7 linked regions of the Kluyveromyces lactis genome follow. The protein of the gene in region 1 purifies or fractionates together with the protein of each later gene. This does not show direct contact. Links are inferred from orthologs where the notes say so. Each region holds a gene or a part of one and is shown on either strand. Other genes may lie near its edges.

The links.
Region 2: the proteins of ECM16 (region 1) and UTP8 purify together in Saccharomyces cerevisiae (affinity purification with mass spectrometry; 3 studies listed by BioGRID). This does not show direct contact. The link is inferred for Kluyveromyces lactis from reciprocal best matches to the Saccharomyces cerevisiae genes ECM16 and UTP8.
Region 3: the proteins of ECM16 (region 1) and KRE33 purify together in Saccharomyces cerevisiae (affinity purification with mass spectrometry; 7 studies listed by BioGRID). This does not show direct contact. The link is inferred for Kluyveromyces lactis from reciprocal best matches to the Saccharomyces cerevisiae genes ECM16 and KRE33.
Region 4: the proteins of ECM16 (region 1) and SAS10 purify together in Saccharomyces cerevisiae (affinity purification with mass spectrometry, with the first as the bait; 4 studies listed by BioGRID). This does not show direct contact. The link is inferred for Kluyveromyces lactis from reciprocal best matches to the Saccharomyces cerevisiae genes ECM16 and SAS10.
Region 5: the proteins of ECM16 (region 1) and CSL4 purify together in Saccharomyces cerevisiae (affinity purification with mass spectrometry; 3 studies listed by BioGRID). This does not show direct contact. The link is inferred for Kluyveromyces lactis from reciprocal best matches to the Saccharomyces cerevisiae genes ECM16 and CSL4.
Region 6: the proteins of ECM16 (region 1) and UTP21 purify together in Saccharomyces cerevisiae (affinity purification with mass spectrometry; 5 studies listed by BioGRID). This does not show direct contact. The link is inferred for Kluyveromyces lactis from reciprocal best matches to the Saccharomyces cerevisiae genes ECM16 and UTP21.
Region 7: the proteins of ECM16 (region 1) and RRT14 purify together in Saccharomyces cerevisiae (affinity purification with mass spectrometry; 3 studies listed by BioGRID). This does not show direct contact. The link is inferred for Kluyveromyces lactis from reciprocal best matches to the Saccharomyces cerevisiae genes ECM16 and RRT14.

Annotation. Positions count from the first base shown.
Region 1 is NC_006042.1:1,597,097-1,601,338, reverse strand, and holds the start of ECM16 (ATP-dependent RNA helicase ECM16), read left to right. Parts: upstream 1-1,442; coding exon 1,443-4,242. Other genes in the region: DNA helicase RAD5, read left to right, coding at 1-52; SAS2 (histone acetyltransferase), read right to left, coding at 119-1,078. UniProt on the Saccharomyces cerevisiae protein: Probable ATP-binding RNA helicase. Required for 18S rRNA synthesis. May play a role in restructuring of the pre-rRNA.
Region 2 is NC_006041.1:413,043-416,626, reverse strand, and holds UTP8 (Utp8p), read right to left. Parts: upstream 2,445-3,584; coding exon 501-2,444; downstream 1-500. Other genes in the region: KLLA0_E04687g (uncharacterized protein), read left to right, coding at 1-449; SYF2 (Syf2p), read left to right, coding at 2,685-3,350; KLLA0_E04621g (uncharacterized protein), read right to left, coding at 3,449-3,584. UniProt on the Saccharomyces cerevisiae protein: Involved in nucleolar processing of pre-18S ribosomal RNA. Also has a role in nuclear tRNA export. It acts between the steps of tRNA maturation/aminoacylation and its subsequent translocation out of the nucleus.
Region 3 is NC_006042.1:2,272,077-2,276,358, forward strand, and holds the start of KRE33 (ribosome biosynthesis protein KRE33), read right to left. Parts: upstream 2,801-4,282; coding exon 1-2,800. Other genes in the region: transcription factor NDT80, read left to right, coding at 3,660-4,282. UniProt on the Saccharomyces cerevisiae protein: RNA cytidine acetyltransferase with specificity toward both 18S rRNA and tRNAs. Catalyzes the formation of N(4)-acetylcytidine (ac4C) at positions 1280 and 1773 in 18S rRNA.
Region 4 is NC_006039.1:1,433,878-1,437,403, reverse strand, and holds SAS10 (rRNA-processing protein SAS10), read right to left. Parts: upstream 2,340-3,526; coding exon 501-2,339; downstream 1-500. Other genes in the region: MutS family protein MSH5, read left to right, coding at 1-403; RPC53 (DNA-directed RNA polymerase III subunit C53), read left to right, coding at 2,743-3,526. UniProt on the Saccharomyces cerevisiae protein: Primarily required at the G2/M phase. Essential for viability: involved in nucleolar processing of pre-18S ribosomal RNA as part of the ribosomal small subunit (SSU) processome.
Region 5 is NC_006040.1:1,659,619-1,662,356, forward strand, and holds CSL4 (exosome non-catalytic core subunit CSL4), read right to left. Parts: upstream 1,395-2,738; coding exon 501-1,394; downstream 1-500. Other genes in the region: BNI4 (Bni4p), read right to left, coding at 1,711-2,738.
Region 6 is NC_006038.1:253,201-257,246, reverse strand, and holds the start of UTP21 (rRNA-processing protein UTP21), read right to left. Parts: upstream 2,801-4,046; coding exon 1-2,800. Other genes in the region: inositol polyphosphate kinase VIP1, read left to right, coding at 3,343-4,046. UniProt on the Saccharomyces cerevisiae protein: Involved in nucleolar processing of pre-18S ribosomal RNA and ribosome assembly.
Region 7 is NC_006042.1:439,167-441,443, reverse strand, and holds RRT14 (Rrt14p), read right to left. Parts: upstream 1,107-2,277; coding exon 501-1,106; downstream 1-500. Other genes in the region: MET18 (Met18p), read left to right, coding at 1-338; RSC chromatin remodeling complex ATPase subunit STH1, read left to right, coding at 1,761-2,277. UniProt on the Saccharomyces cerevisiae protein: Involved in ribosome biogenesis, probably through modulation of rDNA transcription.

The sequences.
Region 1 (4,242 bases):
GGCAGAAAGGAGACAGAAGAGGATCGAGGAAATCCAAATGTTGTTTCAATAGACTATCATGACATTCAATCATATAGAAGCCTTTTAGGGCTTTGCATTTAAGCTGTTATTTAATTCGTTAATCATCAAGTAGTAGATATTCATCTTTGATCATAAATCCATGGGATACCTTGTTGCGTCTTGCCCATGAACGGATGATATTGAGTCTTATTTCAGAATCACTTAAACAATCAAGATATTTGAGAGCTTGAATTATATCATTGATTCTAAAACCAGTGGCCTCGGAAAGATCCTTCAAAGTGACCTGGGCCACATCTTTCAAATTACCTTCAGTCAACTGCCAAACTATTGAGAAAGACCAAAATTTAAGATAGCCAATTAAACCGAAAGGAGATAGAGGAACTTCAGGACCCGAAATCAGACCCTGACATCTTGATAAAGTGTAGGAAAACTCAATCAAGAGAGTACCCAATCTTCTTCTTTGATAGGGCGGAAAGACAAGAATACATGCAAGGTTATTTTGGTGGTAGGAATATAAGTCTTTTGAAAAAAATGCCATCGGTACTGTAGAATTGTTCTCATACACAATATAGAATTCGAAATGCTTAACTTTGAAGTAGACAGACTTGTTATCAAGAAATAGCTTAGTAAATAGACATAAGCATTGGCAGAAAACTTCATGCTTAGAACCTTTTACCCTTCGTATAGTGTATTCGGGGCTTCTGTATTTTATTCTACCGGGTGGCTTATTCTTATATCGGCAAAAGCACTCATGTGCGATTAACTCTGCTTCATCATCAGTGTACTTGAAACAATATTCACATACGTATAGGGTATCAATCCAATACTGATCTTCAAACTTCTTTTCAGTAGGGCTTTGTTTTGCGGTGTGCTCATTGTTCGATTCCTTGAAGCCCAAGGTCCTCTTATTTCTTCCAAAATAAACATTACTCCCGTACCAAGTTGCAAATCTTTTATTCAAGCCAAATTGGACGTGCCTAATATTAGGCTTGTCAAGAATACCATATATTTCTTCATCCTCTGTTGAGCTGTTGTGCTTATCAGGTTTGGGAACCATTCATTAATGATTTGAAAAGAGGCAAAAAATGCGATTTATCACGTTTCCCAAATTTAATGAGTACTTGAAAACCCAATTAACGGTGGAATCAACTGCTCTTTGAACTTAAATGTACAAAAGATTGCCTATATCTTTGAATTATCAAAACGTTGAAAGCGACTTTCTTTTTTTTTTTTTCATCTTCCTTTATGGCAGAAAAAGCTTTAAAGCTCATCGCATCTCATCGCATCCAAGCTCACCTGCATCTATATATCAAAATCTCGTTGATAACAGGCTGGTAGTCTGAATGTTATAGGCCTCTGTGACATTAACAGTCAAGAGAAGTACCTCGCACGTTAAACGGTCAAAAAATTGAACAACAAACATGGGTACCTATAGGAAGCGCTGGAATGAGAAAGCACGCGCGGGTCAGATGTCTAAGTTGAAGGAGTTGAAGAGAGTAAGGAATAGGCAGTTCACCCGTGCACTTGAAAATTCTTCCGATGCTGATTCTGAAGAAGGTAATTCATCTGAAGATGAACATCATGAATCACCCGATCATCAGGAAGATACGAACGCTGCTGTATTGAAACCCATGACGGAGGAAGAGAAACAAGAGAAAAAGCGTAAATTGGAAGAGCTATTCACACCTAAGGAAACGAAGGTCTCTAGGACGAAGAAAAAAAGGTTAGAGAAGTTCATCGAGCATCAATTGAAAAGAGAGGAGAAAAAAGTTTTGATAGAAAAACTTCAGGACTATAAAATTGATACTAAGCTTTTGACAAGTTCTAAGATTTTGGGACAAGGAAGGCAAACTAAGAGGCAAGGGATTGAAGAAGCCCTCAAATTAGAAAGAAATGGACGTGGTGATGAAACTACCAGGGAAATTCTTTACGATGAAACTGAGGTAAGGGATTGGTATCAAGATCATCCAGAAACTAGGCCCAGTCAGGAAAGCACAGCTGAAAATTGCAATTCGGATAGTGATGAAACGGACCATACCAGTTCAGATCACCCTATTTCGGCAAATACTGGGGGATTTATTGATAATAGACCCAGTAAATTTGGTGGGTCAGGTTTTGGTTTTGGATTCGGTAATGCAAAGGTGGTGAATAAAAGGGCCTCGAAGAAAAGGTATAACTGGAAGCAAAAGGTAGAGCAAGAAGAACGTAGAAGGCGTAAACTGGATGATGATCAGGATTTTGAATCTGACGAAAGTGAATCAGAAGAACATTCATCCACTGCAGAAAGTGAACCTGATGAGAGTGAATCTAATAGTAATGCTGATAGTCACAGCGATGATGAGTCGAGTGAGTCTGACGGCGAGGAAAGATCGGATTCAGAAATAGCGCAGTGCAGAAACGTAAGTTCTTCAGTTGCCCAAGAATTTAAAGAGTGGGCAAATCAGGAAATTAAAAAGCTTGAAGGTAGAGATGTAGAAATGGTTATGCCTTCCTCCAACATCAAGGTCGATAGGACCGAGAGACCTGAAGACTTTGAAGATGGACTCAAAGCAGATGAATTTAATGTGAACGAAAATTCAACACGTAAGGCTTTTTATGTCAAGGTACGGAGATCTGATGCTGTTCAAGCTGTGAGAAGCGCACTACCTGTTTTCGCCGAGGAACATAGAATTATGGAAGCTATCCATCATAATGACGTTGTAATCATTTGTGGTGAAACTGGTTCAGGTAAAACGACACAGGTACCGCAGTTTCTTTACGAGGCAGGATATGGTAATTCGTCCTCAACTGACACGCCTGGGATGATTGGAATAACACAACCTAGAAGAGTGGCCGCTGTCTCTATGGCTGGACGTGTTACTAATGAGATGGGTGATCATGGCGAATATGTAGGATACCAAATTCGGTTCGATTCTTCTACCAAGGATAAAACAAGAATGAAATTTATGACTGATGGTGTTTTGCTAAGAGAGATGATGAACGATTTTAGACTTTCTAAATACTCTTCTATCATTATCGATGAAGCTCACGAGAGGAACATCAATACAGATATTTTGATTGGTATGTTAAGTCGTTGTGTCAGCTTACGTGCTAAGGAGCATGCAACTGATCCGGCTAAGTACAAAAAACTTAAACTAATTATCATGTCTGCCACCTTGAGAGTATCAGATTTTAGTGAAAACCCTACTTTATTCCCTGTTTCTCCACCTGTCTTAAAGGTCGACGCCAGGCAGTATCCAGTGGCTGTACATTTCAATCGTAGAACAGCTTATAACTATGCTGAAGAGGCTTTCAGGAAGACGTGTAAAATACATCAAAGGTTGCCTCCTGGTGCTATCTTGGTTTTTATGACAGGACAGCAAGAGATCACGCACATGGTAAAAAGGTTAAGAAAAGAGTTTCCTTTCCCCAAGAAACATCAAACTCTCATTCAAAATGACCACATACCTACAGTGAAAATAGATGCCAAAACTGCAGATGTAGAAGCTGAAGATATCGACTTCAGTGTCAGAGTTAGAGAGGAACAAGAATTTGACGATTGTTTACTCTCTGATGAGGAAGATATTGAGGACAAAGAAGAGGACGAAGAAGAAGGTTTTGAAGAAACACTTGAAGAAGGTCAGACGGATAGAGATCCACTATATGTTCTTCCTCTTTACTCGCTATTGCCCACCAAAGAGCAAATGAAGGTCTTCCTTGATCCCCCACCAAACTCCAGATTATGTGTTGTTGCTACTAATGTGGCAGAAACATCATTGACCATACCGGGAGTAAGATACGTCGTTGATTGTGGTAGATCAAAGGAAAGAAAGTTTGATGAAAATAATGGTGTTCAGAGTTTCGAAATTGACTGGATTAGCAAAGCTTCTGCTGGCCAAAGAAGTGGTAGAGCAGGGCGTACAGGGCCTGGTCATTGTTATCGTTTATACTCCTCTGCAGTTTTCGAAAGAGATTTTGAGCAGTTTTCTAAGCCTGAAATTTTAAGAATGCCTGTGGAGAGTATAGTTTTGCAAATGAAGAGCATGGCTGTTCATAATATTGTGAATTTTCCATTCCCTACCCCACCCGAAAGACCAGCTTTGATGAAGTCAATAAAGCTCTTACAACACCTAGGTGCACTCGACAGTAATGAAAGAATCACTGATGATGGTAAAGCAATGAGTTTGTTTCCGCTAAGTCCAAGATTTTCTAAAATGCTGCTTGTTGGTAATGAAAGCGACT
Region 2 (3,584 bases), on another chromosome or scaffold:
AGATGGAGCATATGGTGATATCCAACGACATTTTCCACTGTGCTGTAGGTGAACACACAAGTAGATGGAATAAGACGGAATATGGGTACGTTTTACTTGATGCGTTGGCGAAAAATACTACGGGCATTGCCAAGGAAGAACTATTGCAGAAATGTTTTGAACTTTTATCAAACCATACGTTTAATGAGGGCGAAGATGTGGATTCTGTGACGACTTCCAGTATTTATGTACCGCCTTTAAGAATTACTAAAGGTGCAGACGCTATTGGAACTTCATTGCCAATAGGCGATTACTATGGAACTAGATCCCAGATTGTCATACTTGTCGACAAAGATAACAGAGTTACGTACGAGGAGCATGTGATTTATGAAAGTGATGAGGATTGTGAAACATACTCTTTCATGGATCCAAAAGAGGTAATTCAGTTCCAGTTCAATATGGAAAGCTGATGAAATCATTTTACGAAAAGTTCTAATGTTTATGATTATACTACACACTTATTAGCATTCTAAATAGTCCACTGTGTAAGCTGAAATAGGTTGTGTAGAAGACGAATTTGTTGATGAATTAGATTTATTGTTAACAACCGATGAATGCTTGGTGTAATGCTCTGCCAAATGCAAAAGTTCTATGTTTTGTGACACTACAGAAACCTGCGCATCGACAAAAGAGGAAAGTTTCTCTAAATATTCATCGTCTAACGCAAACAAACCGATGGAATCTATTATTAAACTCATAAGTTGGAAGATTTGTGGCTTATTAAGTTTCAAGTCCGAATCTGCCTTATTCGAGTTCAAAATCATATCCAAAAAGTTTGTGATATCCATCTTCTCAATTTTTCTTATACCTGCTTTGATTGATTCTTTCTTGTAATCTTGTAGCACTCTTAGCGTAATATCAAAACAGAGCTCTGCATTCGTTATATTGAAAAGCTCGGTTAACAAATCGTCAAGTGGAACATTCGGACAAGTAACAATAGCTTGTTTGAAAAGTCTTGGGTTATTTTTCAACTTGGTTAATAAGCCCTTAGCGTGAACCGGTGGGAATAAAGGGTGTGTTAGAAGGTATGTCAATGCTTTTGGATATTCATCCTTGAAATTTAGAAACAAGCAATCGATTATTTGAGTGAGTAAATCAGAATCATTTAAAAATCTGTCATTGTCTGTATAATATTCCTTGTCTAAGGAAAGCATCTTAAAAAATATAGAATCAAAGTTCTCTATTTTTTTACAGATATGGAGTTGTTTTATAATGCGTTCATAGTCTGGAGATGGCAATTCCACATCGTCGTCCTCATTGCTTTCTTCAAAGAGTTTCTGTAGTTTCTGCTTTTGTTTAACCATGAACCCTTTACCCATCGCATCTTTTAAGGTACCGGTACCAACATCAATGTTAATAACATCCAAGTAACTCGTAGGGTTAGCACCGTTTTTAGTTGTAACATCTAATGCTATAGTTTTTCTATTGTCTTCAGAGTTTTCTTGAACAACTGCAGTAGAGAGTAGTTGAATAGCTTTGATGTTCTGTAAATCCTTTTGGAATAGTATAGCATTGTATAACAAATCCACAAGATATATGGTATTATCAGCAGTCAACAATACACGGTTTGAAGAAACTGGTTTGATGGATACAACTGCATCCTTGGAAATGAAAGGTAGCTGAATGCTAGTTTGTAGTTGCAAATGTGGTAACTGATAGATTGATAATTCATTTGAGTTCTTTAAAACATATAATTTCCCGAACTCAAAACACAACTTTGCATTCTCTAAAGTGTAATTTTCTAGTATGATAGAATTTAGTTCAATACATGAGACGGACTCACTCCTAACTTGGAAAAGTTTGTAACAGATTTTCTCATCACTTAGTTGGCATAACACGAAAAAGAAATCGTTTCCCTGCCCATCTTGGAAGAATTGAACAAATCTGATATCATCATAAGATATATCAATAGTATTTGAAAGTTTCAATTCATAATCAAATGTTTGAATCAGTCCATTCCTTAAGATAACGAGAACTTTCTCTGCTTTAGAATAGATCTTAATGCTAACGACTTCAGATTTTAGTTTATATTTGAACTGAGATGTGATTTCAGCATTTGAAGATGACACGGCATCTTGAATCATCGGCTTAGTAGCCAAGTGTAAATGTGATACCTTTCTAGCTTCCAATCCGTAACACCAGACTTCTGTATTGGCTGCATCTTCTACCACGTCACATGCAGTAACAATGTTCGTAGAGGGGATTGGCAAGTTAAAAACCAGCTTCGGGGTTGGATTAATCAAGTATTGTGATATACTGGAACCTGATATACCAATATTCACTTTATTGGCTGATGGTGAAAGATTATCAACAACTTGTAAGTAGTCTGTTTGATTCGCATAATTATTCAATGATGGAATCTTAGGTAGAGCAGAGAGCCTAAAAGGCTGTGAGATGGATGCCATTTTCTCAATATCTTTCGATAAATAATATCAAAGCAAACTGTATTGAACACAGGATATTTGATACTTCACCTCGTCCTTTCAAGAGCAGCGGTTGAGTGTATCTTTGCACTTACAGCTCATCGCATCTCATCGCATCTCATCTCTTCTTCTGAGTACTTCAAATTTTTCAAACTTTACTTTTGGGAGTCAGTCCGGGTAATATATAGTGTCGAAATGCAAACAGAAACAAGATGAGATGCGATGAATATACTCAGATATCTTCCAGGTGACAGAAAGTGTAGCCCTTATTTGAATGCCACAAATCACATTGTAAACTGGACACAGGCTGATAATAAATATTCGAAGATGAATGATCTAATGGAAATTGAAAAAAAGTTGAAGAGTTTGCGGAAACAAAAAGTGGAAGTAAGTATAAGGAATAAGAAGGCCATAATAGCTGAAGAGAAGAAAAACTCTGAAAGAAGAGTATACAGTATGGCTGACGATGGCGAAGATAAAGCTAGAAGTAACAAAAGCGAACCAGAAGATCCGATAAAATTGGCAAACTACTCAATACGCGAATATGAAAAATGGGAAGCTAAGACACAGAATTCAAGACATAATAAAAGCGTGATGGGGGACTTCCAAACTATAGCAAAGAACAGCTACAAGAAGGAAGTAGATGCGCTTCCGAAGGATATATCACATCCGTTGAAAGGTGGAATAACTGAGGATGGGAAGGTTCAAGTAGAAGATAATCCTGAACTAGTAGAAAAAATGGTGAATGATTTGAACGAACGATCAAAGAAAAGGTATATGGTACGGAAACAAAAACTAGATAAACAAAATAAGATCAATTTGGATGATGGATTTATTAATGACAAGAATAAACGGTTTAATGCAAAATTGAATAGCGAGTTCAAATAGGCATGGGAAAATAGGTATATTGGGCATTTACATATGAGATATTTACGATTGATTATGAATAATTATTTTATTTTAACGATATATAGAGGTGGATTTCTTCATTTGTCTTCAGAATCTAGTGAGTTAAGGACTTCTAGATCTTCTTCTAAGCTCTTGACACATTGCTTGTAATGGATCAATTGGAAATTATGGAACAACTTAACCAAAGAAATGATCTCAGAACTATCTGTAAGT
Region 3 (4,282 bases), about 670 kb from region 1:
CAATAGACTCGCTTAAAACTTCCCTGAAGAAATTGGTGAATTTCCTGATAATCTTGGAGAACATGGCAATAGTTTGATTGGATGGTAAGTTCAACTCTTTCGTTATGTCATCAATGCCCTTGTGTTGCAAACCAATTGCAAGTAGTATACACGATTGTACGCTTGATAATGATACACCGTCACCCAGCTTTCCACTAAAGTATAGCAATGCCATCATTGGTAGAAGATCAACAATGACATGATAATCCAGTAAGTTGTTAGCATAGCTTTCTAACCTCTTTAGATCGAATGGAGAAAAGATGGAATCCAATTGGTCCCTTGTTAAAACCTTATTCTGGAACGATCTGCCCTCCGAGTCTTGGTCTAGTGTTTCACCCTTCTTAGCAGATTCAATGACATTTAACGCTTCGATGGCAGTGAATTTCTTAAAGTCGAACGATAATAAAGACAAGAATCTTTTATGGAAATCTTTGGCAAATTCTGCCAGCCATTTTGATTCACGACCTTCAAGAACTTTAACCATAACACATGTATGTTCACCAGTCAAATCATTCGCTGTTTGACGTAAGTAAACTGGGACAAATCCGTTGTTTTTCCAGAACTTATGTAAAGATTTTGTTAAACCATATGAAACACCTAAGTAATGCAAAAAGTGAGGGGTTTGTTCTGAGAGTTTCAGAAGCAATGGTGGCAACGTCTTTGCATCCCTTAATTTGATTTCATCTTTCAAGAGGTCTGCTTTCTTCAAATCCCTGTCATCGACTCTCTTGATTGTGTAGTCCTTTTGTACCGTATCTTCATTCAAATCGGTGAATTTACCTTCGAAATGATCTTTCAATAACTCCAGAGCCCTAGACCCATAACCCATAGAGGCGTATTCCGGATTGGTTGCAATCCTAACAACACGGGCACCACTCAAACCGGCAAATTCTTCATCTTGAAATTGCTGTGAGATTAGCCATGGAATTAAGTCACCACCAGCTCTTTGACCTCTTGCCAAAGAATTTCTGACAGAATCCTTCGAGATCTCACCTTCCAATGCGACCTGGATGACCACTAAGGGATCAGGTATTCTGCCGCCATCTTTTGGATCGATGGGAGGCAATAAAACGAATAGTTGATGAGCAGGTGCATCACTCATTAATTGCAAGTCGTTAGGAGAATTCTTGTAATGCGATGCGACATAAAGAGCCATCATCTTCTCCAGAAAATTTTCAGAAACAGGATGATAAGAAAATAGAGTATCTCTATTGACGATGAATAAATTACATTGAGATGGATGAGGTGTGCCTCTAGCAGCAAATCTTGGATTTTTGATTAGTTGAACGTCCAAACAAAGTAATTTATTCAACCATTTTTCAACTGGGTCACCAGGAGCGTATCTGATAGGTTCATCTAAGACAACTTCTCTCAAAGAACGGCCACTTGTTTGAACTTCTTGTTTCTTTGAATCTCTGGAAACAAGTGCTGTTTCGGAATCTTCACGGCCAGTACCGTTGGATTGAGTTCTTAGCTGTTGAATCAATTTCAAAGACAAAGATCTACCGGTACCTTCATAACCGTTAATAGTGGATGCCATAAACACTAAGTACGGACCCAAAAGCTTCTTTACAAGTGGTAGTGGAATTGCGGCAGCTTCATCAATGACAACAAGTTCTGCCTGTCCCAACACATGAGAATCATTTGGAATAATATATTGAATGGTCTGTCTATGTTCTCTCTTGATGTCTACTCTGACTATGGCTTTGTTGAAGCTTGGATTGGTGGACTGAATGATATCATAATCAATGTGCTCCTGATAGCCTAGAGCGTCAAATCCTTTGAAAATAAACTCAAATAAAGTCTTCAAATTCTCAGGGGAAGGAGATGTTACAAAGATATTGGAGTAACCATGGGATACAGCAGCAGCAATAGAAATACCTAGAGCAGCTGATTTACCTCTACCTCTACCTGCCGTCAATGCTACAGTTGAATTTAAAGTTTTCTCTGAAATGGCATCAATGAAGGTCAAGATTGCATGAGCTTGATTAACCGTTTTTGAAAGAGCAACTAATGATCCCGCAGGCTGAACATCTTCTAAAGACACTTTCAATTCTTTTAGTTCTTGATTTTTTGGTGAAATTTCTTCATCATCCTTTGGTGGAAGTGGTTTTACGTTTTTTCCTCCAGATATAGGTAAAACGTTTAACTCACTATCTACTACCAAACAGTTTTCATTCGAACCCAAGGACAAGATAAATCTTTCGTTGAATCTTGCCACGACATCGTCATGAGCTTCCGTTCTATAACGAGAGTGGATATCCATAGTCATAGTGTATAACTGTTTTAGAGAGGAAATGGACTTTAACATGATAACAATGATACCACCACCTTCAACGGTTTCGATGGTTCTTGCTAGCAAATTTGGAGTCAAAGCTTCAAAATCTTGTAGGATACACATACCATAAGTGTTACCCAAAATTTTTTCAGTTTCCTTATAATAACAGTATCGAATGTTTTGGTTAGAGATGAAAGTTTCAAAAGGATCTTGTTCATTTATCTCTCTGGTACCTCTCTTGATCTCTTTCTTAATCTTTGCTTCTCTCTTCTTCCTGTGTGAAGTGAAACCCAAGAGTTTCTTCTTATACGTCCATAACACGGATTTATTCATTTTGAGGTCAGCACTCATCATTAAATAGTGCAAGTTCGGTAGCTGGTTACGAGCATTGTCACCAACGATAACGAAAAATGATCTCTGATTTGTTTGAACACCATTTCTGATGAGAGCTGGGATACGAGAATCAATAGCTTTTTTACCCATCGTAATCTAACTTCTGGTTTAAAGTTTTAAGAACACACTCTTTAACAACAAACAATGACAGTTACGTTTCGCTGGAAGTTCGACCGTTGGGAAGAGTTAGTGTTTTTAATGATTTTTTTTGTAGTAACGAAGTACAGTAATCAGGTATTTTGGGGAGAAATAAACGTCTCGTAATACTCAGATAGCTTCTCAGCAAACCACCTCATCTCATTTGATCTCATCTCATCTCGAAATAAAATTCCTACCTAATACGATGAAATAGTAAAAAGACAATGAAAAAAAAAAAAAAAAATTAGGCAGAGAAAAGAAAAGATACTACTTACCCGGAATTATTTGATGAAAATATACTGTTACCCGCATGAATTTCATGCGCAGTGTAATTTCGGCGGCTAATTTCAAGAAATGACTACGTGTGCATAATGCACCATTATGTGATGTCGACTAATATTTTAAATTCATATTTAAACTTCAGTAGTAGTTTTCATGGGTATTAATTAAAGTTTTCTTCATGACTGACGAAAAGGGAAAAACTAACATTATATAAATACCAGTATTTTTGTGTCACAAGGAATAAGGGCAATATTCTTATGAAATAGATCCGATGAATAAGATAAGAGGTTAAGAACTGACATCAGAACGAGGTTCGATTATAAGGTTGTTTCTTTACCTGAACAAGCGCAGTTGTGGTTATCTCTTATACGGAACGTACGATTCCTAGGTTTTATTTTGGTTTTATTTTTTCGTGGTCATTCAGGTAAGCTCGGCGGTTATTCCATAGCAATAGCCAGGAGGAGAGTGAGAGCTAACTATATTTTCTTTTAATAGGAACAGAGTATAGTTTTATGTGATCAAACTTGCTATGATGGAGGATTTGGACCATCTGAACGATGAGAATATCAATATAGATGAGAACGAATTTTTGGAAACACTTGATAATGCTGACGGGGACGTGATCAAAACTTTTAGGAACGCTGACGGGTCATTAAGTAGTCATTTTGACAAGAGAAAAGTTCGTATTGCTCCAAGGTCAACATTGCAGTTCAAAATAGGCCCAGGCTTTACGCCAGTGGTGCCCAATCACAAGATATTGAACGATTTTGGACAGATTCAAGAAATCAAATTGGAGCCTCGGATTGATCGAGGGTTTGATTTCATAGATGACGATTGGATTGGTTATAAAAGAAATTATTTCACCGTGGTAACTTCATTTGACACACCGGGGACTGATCATATCGAGTTCATGAAACAAGCGTATCATTTAGATAACGGTGTGGAGATCAAATACTTCGCTACCAAATTAGCCGCCAAGTGTTTGGAAGATGATAAATTGATTAACCTAGTTCAACACACTGCAAAGCGAGATAAAGGCCCTCAATTTGCTCCTCCAATACATGTTATTGCACCTGCAAATTTGCCGAAGCACCAGATTATAAGAGATGCATCGAACGTGAGAAACGAATCCAAGATGAAAAAATTTGATAG
Region 4 (3,526 bases), on another chromosome or scaffold:
AATTAATGGTGTAGTATTCTATAAAACCGAGATTTTATTGCAGGTGATGGAAAAGGAAAATAAAGGAAATGCCAGAGATGAAATGATTACCTTTTTGTACAAATTGAGCACCGGAATTGCCACGAACTCTTTTGGTATATTCTGTGCCAAAAACTGTGGCTTAAGGCAGAGCATTGTCCAAAGAGCACAAGAACTTACAACTCAGATAGCAGATGGATTTGACATTGCTAAGAACTACAGCAAACTAACTATCGAAGAATTGAACCAATTTAGAATTGACCAGGATATTGCGAAAGAGTTTGTAGCATGGGATCTTGATCTTGAGTCCATCCATTCTGACAAGATACAGCATGCAATACGGAGAAAACTACAAAGAATATTGGATGCTGGACAAAGCTGCTAATTCGTGAGTACTCAGAAAGCAAAATATTACACGAATGAATAATGCGAGTTTTTTTTTAATGCATGGAGTATATAGATACACTAAATATCATCTAGTACTAATTTTTAAATTTCACAGACTTCGTTAGATTCTTCTTAATACCAGTCTTTTCACCTTCATACGCACCAGATTGACCACCAGAGTAGACAGCACGCACAGATTTGAGCTTCTTTTGAGCTTTTTCGTACTTCTTTCTCTTTTTGACACGCGAATTTCTGTTGTCCTTCTTCCTTCTTGGTGTTAGACCCTTATTCTTTAGAATTTGATAGTTGATTGCACGTTTACCATCTTCTGTAATGTGTTCGGCCAATTCAGCCAATTTTCCTTCCTTAGCAGCTTTCGCCACCTCTTTGTGTGCTTGAAGACGGGAATCTTTCTTGTGTTGTCTATCAGCCCTGATGCTCTTGTAATATTCATTCTCGGCATCACGTTTAATGTCTTTGGCAGTCTTTTCATCATCCGAGTTGATATCATCCGTATTAAGATCTGCCGCATTTTTATCATGCAAGCCACGTTTTCTAGCTTCTTCAAGTAGCCTCTGTTGTCTTTCGTAAAGTCTTTCTTTGTAGGGAATATCGTCATCACCTTTGAATCTATCAGTCTTCTTACTAGCCTTTTGATCGATTTTGGAAGTGTAGAAACGTAACGTCTTCTTCCTTGTTTTCTTTTCTTGGACATCAACATCTGCAATCTCATCTTCAACAAAGTCATCAACGTCTTGTAATATCCTGTCTTTCTGAACTTTGTTTGCAGCTCTGTTCGAAAGTTCGATATCAAAGTTTTCTTCTTCTTCGCTTTCCATATCACCCTCCTCGTCCTCATTCTCATCTTCTGCCTCATCGTCACTGGCACTTGCTTCACTGTCCAGTTCATCCTGTTCTTGTAATAGTTCTTCATCAAGTTCACCAATATCCGAAATATTTTCTTCAGCGTCAGAGTCTTGCTCAAAGCGTATTGCTTCTGTGTCCGGTAGTTCGCTAGCTTGTCTCCAAATTTCTTTACACTCCAAAATACGCTCCATTACCGGATGATCTTTCATAGAAATGAAATCTTCGTTATTCTGTAATTCATATAAGAAAACTGCAAAATATGAACTAATTGTTCCAAGATATGAAGATAATGCCATAATTTTGATCTGAATCAATTCATTATTCTCCTCAGTTTGTTTGAGTTTCAGCTCGTCTAAAACGGGTGATAATTTACTGAATTCCTTTGATAAAGGAAGGTATTCTGGGAAGGATGTCTTCAAGAAACCTTCCTTTCTCTCTAAGTCCATGTTGAGAACATCCCTAAGGGAGATTTCAGTAGGACGTTCTTGATCCTTTTGATCTTTAAATTGACCTAAATCGAATTCCTTAGCTTCTTTTACCCATTCTTCATCAACTTCATCCTCAAGATAGTCTTCCATATGAAGGTCTTCCAAATGTTTCTTCTGTTGGCGCAAAGCTTCCTTTTCTATCTCTCTTGCAGTCTCTTCATCGTCCAAGTCATCGGCACCGTAGTATTCTGCCTTAGAAGCACCCCATGCGTTCTCATTGTCCAGCATAGTACCACTCTCTTCTTCTGCATTCTCACCAACGTCTAATTTCCTACCAAAAACCTTCTTATACACAGCTTCACCTGTTAATTCTTCTTGTTCACTTTCATCATCTTCAACTTCTTCACTTTCATCCTCACTATCTTCATCTGACATTCCCATCACTTCTTCTTCTTCATCCACTGAAAGATCAAAATCATCTTCTGGTTCCCTTTGATCAAGACCTGCGTCCTCAAGTAGCACTTTTTCTCTCTTGTTTGCAAAGTCATCGACCTCATTCATGCCATAGGCAACATCTTCTTCCTGGTCTTGTCTACGATTAGACCCTCTTTTTGAGACCTTTGCACCTCTCTTTGCCATATTTGAAGTACAATGTCCAGTACAATTTAAGTCCAACTCAATATACAGTCGATTACAGCGGCTGATAGTAGTTACCTGTTATGCAGCTTGTCATTCTCTTAGTTATACCTATTCTCTGAATTGAGATGAGATGAGATGAGCTTTAACTTTAAACAAAATTTTCCAACATTGCTTTTTCAAGATTTTTCACCAAAATTGAAAGCTGCACTACTACTGGAAGAGATCACAATGAGATGAGCAAAGTTGATGCGCAAATAGTCAATGCAAGGGTTAGTATCCAGTAACTAGTCTTCGTTTTCATATTAGGATTTGCTGTTGAACGAAGAAACGGTCGAGAATCGCAGTATTAAACGCTTGAGTCAAGAAGTTATTTGCATCAAATTGTGATAGGAATCAACTAAAGATGAGTGGACGTTTACCTGGATTGAACCAGGGGAAACCATCAACCGGAACCTCGCTGAAGTTTAAGCCCAAAGTGGTAGCTCGTAAATCTAAGGAGGAACGAGATGCTAACGTTCTGAAGGTAGAAGAGCCGAATAAACAGGTTGAGAAGAAGAAATATACACAGAAACCACAGGGCAACCAGAAGAGGCAGCCGAAGTATTTAAACAACACAAGAATTATCACATCAGGCCCATTGGCAGCTGGTAATTTCTCTGGAGGATCTAATAAAGGGAATAATGGATTCATTAAGACGGAGGGTTCTCAAAGCAGTCTTGTGCAACGCGGTTTGAAAGCTGTTTCTGATGATGAAGCAGAGGGATCGGACGCAGAAGATTCAAAAGCTGGGAAGAGAATTAACATGGGGAAAGAGTATACAGAGGCAGACTTCAAGAAGGAAACTGACGATCTGTTTGATGAAGATGAGGATTCTAATACTGATGCAGCCATGAGTGAAGAGACCAGAGCCTCTAAACAATTGGCCAATCTTTTCCCTGTCAGGGCAGTTCGTATCAATCACGAAAAGGTGGATTCTCTACAGAAAGTTGTCCAGGAATCCATGTCAACTTTGCAGACCAGGGAACCAACACCAGGACCTGTGAAGCTAGAACCAGAACAATCGGATGGTACTTTAAATGACATAGTGAACGAGAAGGAACAGCAGTTAAAAGAAAAACTGCGTTTGCTTCAACTTCAACAAGATTTCCAATCTGTTGACAGCGCAGAAGCTCTCAGGGAAACAAATT
Region 5 (2,738 bases), on another chromosome or scaffold:
TGGCTTGCGTGGACCTTTTTGAAGCTCATCCATCCTTTTATTGATCCGTTGACTCGTGAAAAATTGGTTTTTGATGAACCATTTCCAAATTATGTGCCACCTGATCAACTCGAGACGCTTTATGGTGGTAACCTCGACTTCAAATATAATCATGAAGCCTATTGGCCTGTCCTAACTCAAATTGCAGAGAAGAAGAGAAAGCATTATCTACAAAGATTTGAGAAGTTCGGAAAAAAAGTTGGACTGAGTGAATATGATTTAAGAGGTGACCACGATGAGTTGAAATTCCCAATCAACTAAAAGTCCAACTAACTTTTCTGATAATAACATATGATATTCAGGCGTTGAATTCACAATGATCTTAGTAGAAACTTCCTCAATATTCCCAATATGCGTGAAGCCTAATACGAAACTAATGTAAATGTAAATGAAAGTTGTAAATGTATGTATGTGAAGGTACCTATAGACTTGAACAAAAAGCTTGTTGTGTTCCGACTATATTAGAAGGGCTTTGCACATTTTCGTTTCTCAGCGACTCCGGTCTTTGGTGAAATCATTGTCTGCCAATCAATTGCATACATCTGTTCTCCAGCTCCGTTAGAAGACTTAGCGAACACCACGCCCAAGTCATTCCTTGCTGTAGTTAAATAGTAATGGGTACCATCGCCAAGTGAGAGCACTTGAGCACGTATTATATCCCCAGGTTTAAAACTTTCCATAACTTTTACTCTATCTCTATCAGTGGCCCTTACATCTTGGGATCTAATTATGCCCCTAAAAGTTTCTCCCAAATCCGCGGACACTTGCGAAACGGAAAACGTAGACGCACCAGATCCACCAGCAGCAGCAATTATGCCAGTCCCATTGCTTCCGACACCAGAGTCGATCGGCAAGGGCGAATTCTCAACTGCTAAAATCTCAACTGTTATTCTTTGCAAACTGATTCTGGTCACCCTCGCCAGTACGATATCGCCCTCTTGCGGAAGGTTATTGACAAACTGGTCATCAACATACTTGCTAGCAAACTTGCTAGGATTTGATACTGATACTTTGAAACTTTTTATAACTCTACTATTGCCAGAGCTTGCATCCCCTCCGGTGGTCTCATGAGATTCTACAAACGTCGTATTCTCTGAGTCTTCTTGATCGTCGTCTTCGATAATATCTGCTGGAACTTCTTCCACAGATACAGAACCTTTTAATGTGGCTACGATAATATCAACGTTCTTGCCGTTAACTCTAAAATTCTCCTGTTTACAGCCAGTGCCCGTTAGGAAGCGTATTACCACTTCTTGCTTGTTATCATCATCAACATCAAATATTGGACATATAAGATCACCGGGTATAACAGTCTGGGGGAAATTTTTAAAAGGCTTCATTTTATAACGATGCATATAGACAAACCTTACTGTTATCAAACACTCTTATTATCTTACAGGCCATATTTAAGCTAGTTTGGTATTACTGTTAGCTCATCGCATAAAGCAGCTCTTTTTTTATCATTTTCATAATGAGTGAAACAATTTTCAAAATTTGGGAGATGTTGAAGACAAGTTAGAATTATTTTCAAATAGTAGGGTAATATTACCAAAGCTTTCAAAGCGGGCTCAACACGAAAGCTACGTGCACGATTTGAATCCATATAAAGGGAAACATAGAAACGCATGGTAAATGATTTAACTACTATGATTACATGTATTTATAGGTCTACTAAAAGAAGTGAGTGTTGCACATAGAATCTTCGTGAATGTCCATTTCTGCTTTAAGCTCATTCAGCTCGTCCTTTATCATTTGGGCCAATTGAGGAGTAAGTTGATTGCATGTTGCCGAATCAGGATGCCTATCATACTCAAGTTCACCATAGGTCTCATAAAGGACTATTTGAGAGGAAAACTTAACAAGTTTTGCTGCATAGCTAGATCTTTCTTCCGATTTCTTCGACATCTGATCTGAGATATGTTCAAGTCCCGTAAGCCCTGAAAGTTCCATGGTACTGTTGAATTGTGGCGCTTTCAAACCCCTAAAAGACATCGATATAGGCCTGCTCATCGATGTTGTGATATCTGGTAAAAATGCGTTGATCTTTGGGGATTCTTTTACTGCATGTATGCCATTAAAATCTTCGTTCTCAAAATCTTCCTCATCATAATTATCAAAATATAAACTGCTATCAGAAAAAGTGTTTTGGTTGCTACTGCTAACATTTTCTGGTGATGTGTCTCTTGTTTTTATAGTACTTGATATGTGTTTCTGATCATCCAAACCAGTCTGTTTTTGGTTGAGTACTGAACTGTTTGTCTTAATTTCTGGGGAGTTAGTAAGTTCCACAAGAAATGAGTTTTCTGTCTCAGTATTGAAGCTGGGCTTGGATAGAGAGTTTTTCACAGATTCTTTGACCGGATTTAGAGTTTCATAGTGTGAACGATTGTCAGAATAGAGATCAAAATTTAACTCGATATCTTGTCCAAAGTCTATTATACTTGCAAATTCCATGATATCTGAGATTAATTCGTTGTCTTCATTATCTGAATCTTCAAGACTAGATTTAGTTGCCTTATTCTGCACCAATGGTTTTTCTAGTTGATCTTCTTGATCAGATTCCATTGTCAGCTCGTTTAACTTTTGCTCTATGGAACCAAAAGAAAAATCTCTCTGTTGTGGTGAAATTGTGAAACTTGCACTTCGAGTACCATGACTATTGTCCAAATCAGAACTGGCGGATATTTTTTCATCAGACG
Region 6 (4,046 bases), on another chromosome or scaffold:
CGCTGCCGCAGAATTTTACCAATTCATCCAATGATTGGCCCTTGCGGTGATTGGTATCCCAATGTTGCAGAGCAGTCTTGATATTTTGATTTGTGTTATTAGAATGAATTACATCACCATGCACTCTGAATAAGATGGTAATATATGCCTCATATAACTCAAAGTTCTTGTTGGTAGCCAAACCTTGAGCCAAACTTTCAATGAACCGACATAGCTCATCAAATGGTTGAAAAGCTTTCAAAGAACGAATCTCCAAATCAATATTTGAGGGAGTCATCTGGACTAATTCGTCAAGGAATGCTGAATAATCGTTTTTCTGCGAACCTTCTCTAAGTAGCTTAGTGAAATCAGATTCGAACTGAGCACCAAGTTTTCCTGAAGGTTTGAATTTATTCAGTTCACTAGCAGCATTAGCTTTGGCAGCATTTCGCTCCTGTTGTAGTTTAGAGGAATCCAAACTCAAATTCTCAGCGCCTTCCCTGGCTGAAGCCTCATCGCCCACCTTATCTTTTGCAAGTTGTAAGAAGAATGGAGCCTGCTCTGGTTTAACTGGAGCCTCCTTTGGTTTCGAACGTTGTTTAATTATATCGAGATTGAGTAAGATATTCATCTTGTTCCTTGGTCCCAAAGAAAGAGTCAATAAATCTTTATCAATTTGCTCCATCGAGTCATATTTACCAAAGAGATCTTCGGAATCATCTTCCTCTGTATCAAAAGCCCCTTCCAAAAAGTTGGAACCACCATCTCCGGAAACGTTTGGAAGCATAACAGTGGCAAATTCTTCTTCGTCGATCTGTCTGGTTGATACTGAAATGAACTGAGCTCTATTAGCCCAGAGGGAAATACCATTACCAGATACACTAGTGGTAGCCAATAAGTCACCATTTGGTGAGAATTTAATGTTAGTGATGACATTTTCCACTTTCATACCGTCTATACATCCACCTGTTGGTAAATCCCAGGTTCTAATTGTGGAATCTAATGACGAAGAAACGATCCAACGTCCATCAGGTGAGAAGTCAAATGATGAAATTCTATTGGAATGCCCCCAGAGTTGACGGACCACTTTTTGAGTAACCGAATCTACGACAACAATGGAAAGGTCATCTAATGCTAATGCGAAGAGGTCAGATGATCGATGGTATACCATTGATGTTATAGGTGAATCCAACTTTAACTTTCCCAAAAAAGTGCTTTTGGAAAAGTCATAAAATCCGACAATACCATCTAACCCACATGACACCATCTTTCTGTTCATACCATCCATTGCAATACCAGTAACTGCCTTCTTATGTAAACGATAAACCTTTCTCTTCTGTCCACTTTGTAAGTTGTGAACACTAATACCACCGTTTGAAGAGCCAACTAAACCAAAGTTACCACATTGTGATATAGCTACGCTCTTCGCAAACCCCTCATCATTAGTTGGGATTGTCCACCTACCAACTCTTTTTGTTCTCGAGTTCCATGTTCTTGCAAACTTTTCCCCTTTATGAACCGTCAAGATGTTTTCCCATTGGCCTTGTCTGTTATTTTCGATGACTATTGATGTAATCTCAGGGAACTTCTCACCAATGGTGCTTCCACCAATCCTATTTCCATCTTTATTCTTATGCAGACGCTGCGATAATTCCTGCGATTGTGCATCTTTTCTTAAGGAAAACCCCCATAAAGATCTATCTTTTGAAGCAGAAAGAATGAAATGAGATTGATCGTCAGCAAATGCAATAGAGGATGGAGGTTGAGAGTGACCACCTCTTGACCTTAATAATCTGGCTGGTTGAATGACCACTTCAGAGTCACCTTGCGATAAGGATGGATCGAAAACAAACTCTTTTAACTGGTTGTCACCACCACAAGTGACAACGATCGGCTGACCGTTCAAGAATGATGCTCTTGCAACACCACCATTCACTTCCTTGTGAATGCCTTTTAACACTTGAACACGTGAGCGATGATCTAAGTCATAAAAGATCAAATCACCACTGGTTGATGCTACTGAGATATGAGAAGCACCATCCGTTCTGAAAGAGATTGAAGAAATTCTCGTCGGCGTTTTAATGGTTCTGATTTTCTTACCCTTACGCAAATTGAATAAAATAACTTCACCAGATGATGTACCAAAGGCAACGATGTCTAAAGCAGGTGCAGGTTCAGCAGTGGTGATCTCATCGGGGAACTCATCGGAAGTGTACAATTGTTTTCCGGTCCGAACGTTAAACAAGGTGAAATTAGACTTAGTCACAACGAGCAACTTGTTAACATATGTTGGTAAATGCACCAAATCAACAATATCACCACCTTGTAACTTACCAATGGTGAAATTGGTGTATAATTCAGTAGCGAATTTATCAGATGGGGAATTTTTCTTATAGATATAAACAACATTATTATCTGTAGAAGCAATCAAATATTCACCGAAAACGTTAATTTTGGTCACCACGGTATTTGGATCAGGTAATTCAATCAAATGTTCTAGCTTACCTCTCTTATAGATCCCAACTTTATTCTTAAAACTTGCATAAACGTAATGAAAATGCGCTGCCAAACAAGTAATGTCTCCCTCTGTCTCCTTATCTGAAACGAATAGCAGATGCAAATTATTGGCATCAAAGATCTGAAACGACTTACCAACAGAAGTCACAATGTAGAAGGTCGTACCTAGGGTACCAATCGCATAAGGAACTCCAGTAGATACATTACCTACAATTCTATACGGAGAAAATATTCTGGAAGCATGTTTCCTAACAGCGCCGGAAGAACCAACTCTTCGTTTCTTTAACGATCCATCCACTGTCATGATTGCTAATGCACTGTTCTGTGACTTTATGCAATCGCTTAATTAACTGAACAACAAGCGAATCCAGTAATTAGCTGCTGACGATAGGTATCTATCTCATCTCATCTCATCTCATCGCTTCTTTAAAACGTCGAGCTTCGAAATTTTCATCGCTGAAACAGAAAAAGAAATCAGAATATCACGTGACACATAAGGGGGATCAACCTGCAAATGTGATTCTTAGACTTGGATAGAGAAGATACTATGTAACTTCACCATTAGATGCCATTAGATAGTAACCATACCACAGTCTGAAATCTCACTAGCGAAACACATGGAGGTGTTGCTTAGATACTGGTCTTTACTTCAGAATTACTCACAGTTTTCTATCAAGTTTTCACTATTATCCTTCACATATAAATTTATATACAAAATTAAACACATGGGGAATAATCGTACCATGCATCCGCTTATAACAGAAATCGATTAATTGCAACGATCTACAAAATAATTTTAACTGAAGTTTCAGCATTGGTTATAATCAAATTGCAGAACTGCCAGTCATGTCTTCTCCAGGTTCAATTTCTGATGAGGGTCAAGAGGCAATCAACGGAAATACCATGCCTCCACTGTTTTTAGATTCGAATACGAAAAAGGCTATGGAATCGATCGCTCCTATCCTTGAAGGGTTCACGCCGAAGACCTCTTCTAGTGAGAATAAGTCGTTGAAGTTGCCACCTGCTGGTTTTACCTCTGATGATGATGATGAGACAAATAAGCTCGTCAGAACGCTTAGTATTTCTTCTACTGGTTCGACAGGTCGTCATATGACTCCCAGTGTCCTAGGCACCTCATTCGATAGCATGAATGGTAACAAGCTTCAAAGACTGAAAAGTAACCAAAGTGGATCAGCATCAGTTTCTGCTATTCTGGAAGGATCGCCTAGTCCATCTCCTATGCTGGAAGAACCTCATGCATTCCCCTTCATTCCGCAAGCATTAGTCTCTAATGAAGCTGTCACAACCAACACTGACGGATCAACAACTCCAAGTTCGACAAATTCTTCGAGGAAAGCTTCAACTTCCTCGTCCAAGCCTCAGCTACCAAAGATTGGTAAAATTGGTGTTTGTGCCATGGATGCGAAAGTGTTATCCAAGCCATGCAGACATATCTTAAACAGACTAATTGAACACGGTGAGTTTGAGACTATAATTTTTGGCGATAAAGTTATATTGGATGAAAGCATTGAAAACTGGCCTACTTGCGA
Region 7 (2,277 bases), about 1.2 Mb from region 1:
TAGAGAATATCGAAGTCAGAATATCATCTCTAGAGACACTAAAAAATACTGTGAATCAAATGTCTCAGTTGGTTACTGAACATGTCCATTCGTTAGTTCCGCTGTTACTTAACTTATTGGTCCCATCGAAATATAGTAACGTGAACGTAAGATTTCTGTCATTAGAAATTCTTCAGACTTTAACAACCAGTGTTCCCCTTAACTACTTGATCCCCATGAAGAATGAAATTATATCAAAACTTCAAATTGGTTTAGATGACTCGAAGCGTAGAGTGCGCAAACAATGCATAGACACAAAACAGGCATATTTGGAATTAGGACAGGTACCATTTGAGTAGTTCTACTTCCTTCAAATAATGAATATACTTAATTAATATATATGAACCGACAATGAACACTTGAGTCTACTGAGTATTTGATCATATGCTGAGAGAAAAAAACACACCTTTGTATGAGCCGCAATGAAAACTCCGTACCTGTACGTCTTTGTAAATATGAGCTCAATAATCTTCATCTTCGTCTTCTGATTCCTCCTCATCGCTCGCACCAACTGGAGCCAATCCAGGTGTGAGAGCTTTATATCTGTGGTCTTGTATCGATTGTGGTAGCTTCTCCTTGAACTGTTTCTTCTTTTGTCTCCTAGATTTTACCTTCCTTACCTTCTTTGAATCTTCTGAGTTGGCAAGTATTTGTTTCTGTAAATCTAACAGTTCTTCCTTATCGTCATAATCCCAACTTTTCAGGTTGCGAACATTTTTCTTCACCACTTTATCCAAATAGGATTTCTCATGATCCGTAAGAGAATTATCTACTTGATGCTTTCTTAGTACTTGTAGCTTAGCCTTCTGTTCTATATCCTCTTGGACTTCTTTTCTTCCAGATATCTTCTTTCTCAACATTTTCTTCTCCCTCTTTTTGATCCGGTATACATCCTTTTCTTGTACCTCTACTCTTTTCTTCAAGTTCCTATCTATTAGTTGTGCTTTCGAGCCTTTGTCTCGGCTTGTTTTCTTTCTTTCTGCATTAACCGACGCAGAACCCGGCAGTACGCTTTGCAACAATGCGTTCACAGCGTTGGTAGCATGAGCAGCTGCAAGAGATGACATTATAATCAGAGAATTTTAGTTCTTCAAACCTTGATTGTCAATACAGAAGACACTTTTGTAACAGTTCGAAGCACTGTAACTATCTCAATCGGGGAACTTGATAGTTCACTCTCATCACATCTCATCTAATCTCATCTCATCTCATCCATGGCGTATTATCCAAATTTTCATTTTAGGTCATGAAATATTAAACAAGAAAAGAAACAATGGTGCCCACTTTAATGCGAATATTTTGGCACGTGATCGAAGTTGGTTTATTACCCGGTTCTTGTTGTTGTTACCCGTACTTTGGCCCATGGCAATAGTGAATGTCAAAGAAAAAAGTAAACACGATAAATAAAATTGTGAAAAAGAGGATGAATTTGAAAACAGTTTGATTTTATTCTGAATTTAGTTTTGACACGAGAAAAGGACGAACAGAGGTTTGTTTTCAACACGGCAACGGCGGCTAAAAAAATAGACGCACCGAAAGCGAAACAGTAAAGAATTCTAGGGCAATAGTACCTGTTTGTATCGCGTTAGCTTTGTGACAACTCTGAATTTTTTTAGCAGGACTTCAGTTATTGTTTTACCCCCTTTCAGAATAAAAAAGGTTTAAAGCTCACTAGCGGGAAGAGACCTGGATCACGTTAAGAAGTGTGAAATAAAACAACAATGGATCAAGTCGTCGTAACGAATAACGCGGATACAGCGCCTCCTTATCCGCTTCCTATAGTGAATTCTGAGAATGTTGATAATGGGAATTCCGAAACTGAAAACCAGGACGTTAACGGCAATATCGAAGACAACCATGTTGGTGCTGACAAAGGAAGCAACAACAATTTTCGGAACGACAGTGGTAGTGCTATTGGACAGAACCAGATTGCCGCTGTTCTAGAAGAAATGAAGAAGGTGGAAAGAGTAATCTTGCCACTACCTGAAACGAAAGAACAATTAGAAAATTTGATTTATCGTTACAGATACATTTCTCAATATAGAGATCATAATAAGCTTGAAGTTGAGGCTATTGAACAAATTTTCACCCAAATCTCGGATAAACAGGAAGAGTACAAGGAAAGGCTGCTGAGGTTAAGAGAAAACGCAGCCAAAGATATTCAGTGGGACGAAAAGTTGTTGAAGGAGCAAATGGTAAGCTTACAGCTTTTGAGTAAAGATATAAATATACCGGATG